Tribolium castaneum: one gene and its partner. The protein of the gene in region 2 binds, or shares a complex with, the protein of the main gene of each other region. Links are inferred from orthologs where the notes say so. Each region holds a gene or a part of one and is shown on either strand. Other genes may lie near its edges.

Region 1 (3,356 bases), on a different chromosome or scaffold from region 2:
TGTTTTAATTCTTCTAAAATCGGATCATCAACAAAAAAATATTTGTAGTATTAAGATATCAGGCATAAACGAGGACAAAATGTTATACTTTATAAAACATCAACGATGTAAAATTACACATTGTTAAAATATACAAATTTTTATTAAAACCCCTATTATTTATTGTTCCTGGTATTTTTCTACTACCATTCCTGTCCTAGGCGCAAACTTTTAACTGTACATACAGTAGACTTATTTCCCTTTTGAACGAAATGTGTAAAATACTTTGTAAAAATATCTAACATCCTTAGTCTCTACATTTGTATCATATGTGATTATGTGGTGAGTTGTAGTATTTTGTAATAATGTATATTATTTGCAATGTTTCGTATTTTTTGTACATAAATTCAGACACGTGTTGAATATTTGGCAATACCAATATGTATACTCGTTAAAATGTAAAGTGTTGATTTTTCCCGATTTTTATTTTTTCAATCCTGTAACAAAGACAATAGATTTTTTTATAAATGTGTGGTGATTTAATTTTAAATTCGGTTAAATGATCACACAACCTACTGTGGAACCTGTTAAAATTTTTATTTAAATAATATAGGATATACATTTATAAAAAAAAATGTTTTTATTATAAACTTTTAAAAGCTGTTTCTATAATTTCCTCAATCACAGTTGCACGTTTTGTACTTTCTTCCACACACTTTAAAAGTTGCTCTTCCGTAAAAACACAGCCACCTGGCTTGTGAACAAAACACAACTCTTCTTCCTTCACCACAATTGTCACCAAAGACGTACTTAAGTCCTCCTCATCCACTGTTGGGTCTATGAGAATTTTACTACAATCAAAAAATTAAAAAGTTTACAACAACAATGATAAGCTTACTCATCAAACATTGCAAACGTTGTTGCTATTGGAGTGTTGGTAACACTAAGAGCTTTCCTCTCTTGCACATTCACTTGCTTGTTGTCAAGGGCTGGATCGTACTGAACCGCTGGCAAAGTAACTGAAGCGCAATTATATTTTTCACAAAAAAACAATATTGTCTTTACCTGACTTAAGCGCTGCCATTAACGCAACAACACACGCGTCTATCAACGCCCCATCCAAATCCAAACAAATTAAATCAGCATATAAACACCAAGCTAATTTGTCTGGAAATATACATAACGTTTTTAAGTCTAAACAATCAGAGTTTTTTAAAATATCGGCAACTAACTGGGTCGCTACTTGGGCTTGTTCAGTTGGGGGTCCTGGCCGAAATTTTGACGAACACAACGGTGGTAATTCCACATTGGGGATCAAAAACCCCTCGTTTGCAGCCTCAGCCTTGGGCTGACACAACTCCTAAGGTTTGGTTTAGCAAATTGAATGCCTCCAATTACACTCACCGCTTTAATGCCGCAAACTACCGTCGTGCGACCAACTTTGGCAATCGCAGACCCATCGGCTGTCGAAATTGAGCCCAAATTGACCACGATGGGGCGATATTCCCCAAATTCGCGCCCATCAGGTCGGATTTTGTGGGCCAAGTGGTCGCGGAAGTACTTGACGGGGTGCAAAATCCTAAAACATAGGATAATCACCTTGTTATTTATTCACAGTACTACAATTATTACTTGTATTGTTCTGACATTATTGAATTTGTTTATAACCACGTTTTTCGTTTTTGACAATTGACATTATTAATGACGTTAGTTTTGATTGGTTGCCGACAACGGTGGGGGAAACGTTTGATTTGAAACGAGTAAATTCGGTTGAATAATGCAATTTTTGTAATGAAGACATTTGCTTGCAAATAGGGCATTTGGTTGGGAACAAGTATTGTCGATTGATTTTTGATTTAGTGCAAAATTCCGTTAAACCCTTCAAAACATGTTATCCCCACTCGTGTGACGTTGCTTAAATCTGGGCTCCCATTGGTCCCGTTTGTCATTTCAACGGTCTCTCAGCTGTTCGTTTCCCGCACTCTGCGCTCTTTGCATCTGGCCGTTAAAAACAGTCGTTTTGTCGGTTAGGGGTAGCTTGGGTGTTTAAGTTGGGGTTCAGTTTGGCCTTCGGTTCAGCAAACTTTTCGTTTTTCGGGTATTAGAAACTTGCACGTGTGTTAGAGGAATGGCATCGATAAGAATTCACCAGGACCAGGAAAACCGGGTGCCGGAATTGCGCCGAAAACCGGGAACGACTGCCCAGCAAAAACGGGGCGTTCTGGGCGAGATTGACAGTAATAAAGTTAATAACGCAGCCCTTAAAGGAAAACAGGTAATTAACAGTTGGAGGTAACTTTGGATGGGAAAAACGTTTGCTTTTTTGCCAGACGAAGAAGCCAACCGTTTTGGGAAACCGGGTGGAAAATGGGCAAAAAAACGAGAATAAGAAGAATGTCGTGGTTCCGGTGGCCCAGTTTGAGGCGTTTACTGTGTATGAGGATGATGAATACAGAGCGAGAATCGATGAAAGGCTCAAACTTATCAGTAAGAGTAATGTGTATAAAGGGACGGCCGAGGACAGGTTTATCACGAAGACAGAACTTGCCGAAATTGAAAGGAAAAAGAATTTGGAGAAATTGAAGGAAATTACTGCGCCTCAACTTAAGAGAAAATCGGAGATTCCGATGAGCATTGAGAAATCAGATGTGGAGAACATTGAGCTCAAAGAGCAAACGGTTTCCACAAATACCAATGCTAGAGATGTCTTTTTTGAAATGGAGGAGTATAGGGATAGCATTTTTGCTTATCTCAAAGAACATGAGGTAAAGTATCTTCAAGAACGACGAGAAAATTATTCCAAGTTTTTTTACATCCATTGACATTTATTCTCAATTAAAAAAAAAAAAACAGATTGAAGCCCTTTTTATTAACAACTTTGACTTTTTTTGAAATACTTTCGGGGCGGGAAATTTCATTATGGCTTTAATTTCGTATATTATATTCCATACTCTACGTTGTGATATGTTAAAAACATGAGAACACTTCAATTTACGATTTTTACCTATAACTTGAAAACTATCTTTTGTGGACTTTTCTCTAGAGCCTTTAGATGTGCCAAAAGCGTCAATTGAACCGGTTTTATAAAATCAGATTTATCAATTTTTGCGAAAATTTTGGTTGATTTCGATACCCGGAGCATTTATCGGGCAATAACTCCGGAACTGTTTTCCACGACCTTATTAAGATTGATCGTTGAAAAGCTTTTTTTATTTTCTATCTGCGACTGAAGAAATTGCTACTAAATGCAAAAATAGAAAGAAATTATTTCTGTAGATAACTTCAAAACTGTTACAAGTTTGGCCGTTTTCTCGACGTCAATCTATTCTTCGGATTATATTACATTGGAGTATCAAAGTGGTTCCATTTTTCGAATA
Region 2 (3,099 bases):
CTGAACTGGACATTACAAAAACACAAAAATGTGTAGGTCTTTTATGGCTCCTTAAAGAGATAGCAAAATGACTATTGAAAATTACAATTTCAACCAGACCGTCGCTTAGACTACATCAAGTTGCATCTTTTCTCTCATAGAACAAAATTGCGCCCAACGCTTAGTTTCCGAGATATTTAAAGAATTAGGTTCAAATTCAAATTTTCGCGCCTGCGTTTATTTTTAAGTTTTTTGAGCACGTTTTTCAGGAAGCAGCGTGATTTTTTAAGTTTTTCAATTTTTATCGAATTACGGCTAAACTATTCGAAAAAGTGGAACTATTTTGATCCTTACCTATGCAAAATGATCCGGGAAATCGATTGACATCGAGAAAATCGCCAAATTCCCGATAGTTTTTTAGTTATGATTTTTTTAATGTTTCCAATTTTTGCTTTTGCTTGCAATTTTCTCGAAAACTATTAGTCGGAGAACAATAATCATTTTTGAAAAAAATAGATAATCCAAAGAGCTTTCCAACGATTATAAACTTTATAGGGTTATCTCTAATAGTTCAATTAACTTTTTTGCACTTTTAAGGGACGCAAAAGGGTTTATTAAAATAAACAAAAATACAATTTATTGAACATTATTTCACATCATTTTGCACGCTTTCTGGCACAACTCTTGCAACCTTCCTGGCCTCCTTCACAAACGTCTTGGAGCACTGCATCTCCGTCCAGCTCACAGGCACCATAAGCCCCCCATGTTCCGAGTGCGCCGTCACGACCCCCAGCTCATTCTCAGCCGTGGACAACTGATAAGTGTGAGCTTCCGTGATCGGCAAAACCCTCGCCAGAATCACGTCCCCGGGCCTGAAACTCTTGTAAATCTCCACGCGGTCCTTCTCCGTCGCTCGCACGTCCTCCTTCCGCAAAATCCCGCGATACTGCCGCCCCAAAACCTTATCCCCGACACACTTAATGTAGCATTTGCAAAACTGCTGCGTGATTGTGTGAATTTGCGCTGTGACGATGTCGCCCTGTGACGGCACGAGCGTTTCCTGCCCGGAACTGCGCACTTCAATGATCTGGACGTTGTCTTTGGGGACAATGTCCACAACACCGGCAAGGGTGGCGTAGATGTAGCCCCCACGCTCGTACGTGCCTTGACCGGACACGTGCGAGGGGTCCGACAGGCACAGCCGCTGCCCCGGGAGGCACACAAGGGGCGATGACATGCCCAAAATCAACAAAAAACGAAATTTTTGATTTTTTTTGAGGTTAAGTCAAATGTCAATTGACATGAAGAAATTTCAAAAACTGCGTGTTCCTTTTACTGTCAATATTATTATCACGGCAGACGACGTTCAAAGCCAATCAAAGGCACACAAGGAGCTATAACATGCGAAAAATCAGCACAAAAACGAAATTTTTGATTTTTTTGAGGTTACGTCAAGTGTCACTGTCAATTGTCAAAAAACGAATTTGCAAAATTTTACTTTCTCATTCATTAATTAACATTAATTACCAATTACGACCATTAATTTGGCTACAGAATTAAATAAACTGGTTTATGTTATGTTTATTTAACTACTCATTACACCCTGTATATACATACAACGTAGAGATAAACCTAAAAAAATAATGCCTTACTTATTAGAATGATTTTTTGCCACCTAACCCCACTTTTTTGACAGCTGTCACCCCTCGTGTTTTGTTTTTTTTTGGGGGCTTTAGCCTGATAATGGGTGATTCCGTGGCCGAATTGTTGCAGTTTGTGCATCTGGGGGCCCGTTTGGACCTCAAATCGGTGGCTTTGGGGCACATTTTGGGTAATAGGGTTCGAGGTTAGACTTGTTTTTTGTAATTTTTTTGTAGGTTTGACGGGGAATGCGGACGGAATTGCCACATTAATCAACACACCGTCACTTCTGGTCTCCTTAATCACACTTTTGAGTGATAATAACGCCACAATTGTCAAAGACTCGGCACTTTGCCTTGTTAATGTCTCTGCTGATCACAAGGGGGCCCTGGCATTGCTTGATTTGGACACGAGTGTGGGGTGCCCCCCTTTACAGAGCCCCCCGAGTGACATTACTTCGACTGTTGTTAAATTCGTGACGGACCCCATGAGTAAAATCGCCGATTTTTCCTGCATGATTTTATCGAACTTATCTCGGGCCAATCACGATAAAGTGATTGATGCGCTTGAGAAAAGCGCAAGTTTGGACGATTTGATTGACATTTTCACGAAAAAACAGTACAATAAAGCGGGGGCTAACCTCCACTACTTGAGCCCCCTTTTTTCGAACTTGTCGCAAAGTGGGCGCGTCCGGAGACGCTTCCTGGACCGGATCCACAAACTCGTGCCTTTCATTGAATTCGAGGAGTCGGCCGTGAGGCGCGGGGGCGTCGTGGGGGCCCTGCGTAACTGCACATTTGACCCCGAGTGTCATGAGCTGCTCTTGGGCCCCCATGTCGATATCTTGCCCCGGCTGCTCCGCCCCCTGGCCGGAAACGAGGAATTTGACGACGAAGACAACGACAAGCTCCCCCTTGAACTGCAATATCTCCCGGAGGAGAAACAGCGTGAAGAAGATCCAGATATCAGGTGCATGTTACTGGAGGCTTTGACCCAGTTATGTGCCAAGAGAAAAAATCGAGAATTTATCAGAGAGAGAAACACTTATGTGATTTTGCGCGAGTTGCACAAGTGGGAAAAGGACAGAAAGGTGCTTTTAGCGTGTGAAAATTTGGTCGATATTTTGATACGCACCGAGGAGGAAATTGGAGAAGATGATTTGAAGACACTTAAAGTGCCCCAAAGTTTAAGCGAAGACTTCAATAAAGCGGATGAGCAGTTTTTAAAAGATGAATAAATTTTTTTACAATTAAATTTCGTCTTTCTATATATTTCAAAAATATATAATTTCGGACGAATTAGTTCGGGTGACAGAAGTTTCACTGTATTAACAGTTGTCACTGTTGTTCTGGCCGTTTCCATAACAATTAAATTATTTAGAAATTTTGCGCAATATTTGAGTTTTTGTTTAGAAACGGTAACTTTTCATTCATTTTTGACCAAATTTGGTGATTTTTCTGTTCTAGTTTAATAAAAACA

What was found. Proteins that work in one complex are often made in the same cells at the same time.
Region 1: Csl4 (region 2) and exosome complex component RRP43 share a complex: the UniProt entries of both Homo sapiens proteins name them as parts of the RNA exosome core complex. The link is inferred for Tribolium castaneum from reciprocal best matches to the Homo sapiens genes EXOSC1 and EXOSC8.

What each region holds. Positions count from the first base shown.
Region 1 is NC_087402.1:7,982,038-7,985,393, reverse strand, and holds exosome complex component RRP43, read right to left. Parts: upstream 1,757-3,356; 5' UTR 1,629-1,756; coding exon 1,612-1,628; intron 1,559-1,611; coding exon 1,384-1,558; intron 1,340-1,383; coding exon 1,045-1,339; intron 999-1,044; coding exon 878-998; intron 831-877; coding exon 623-830; 3' UTR 553-622; downstream 1-552. Other genes in the region: CycA (G2/mitotic-specific cyclin-A), read left to right, coding at 2,108-2,254, 2,310-2,744. UniProt on the Homo sapiens protein: Non-catalytic component of the RNA exosome complex which has 3'->5' exoribonuclease activity and participates in a multitude of cellular RNA processing and degradation events.
Region 2 is NC_087401.1:17,299,442-17,302,540, forward strand, and holds Csl4 (exosome complex component CSL4), read right to left. Parts: upstream 1,517-3,099; 5' UTR 1,430-1,516; intron 1,374-1,429; 5' UTR 1,217-1,373; coding exon 626-1,216; 3' UTR 570-625; downstream 1-569. Other genes in the region: protein HGH1 homolog, read left to right, coding at 1,723-1,810, 1,857-2,857. UniProt on the Homo sapiens protein: Non-catalytic component of the RNA exosome complex which has 3'->5' exoribonuclease activity and participates in a multitude of cellular RNA processing and degradation events.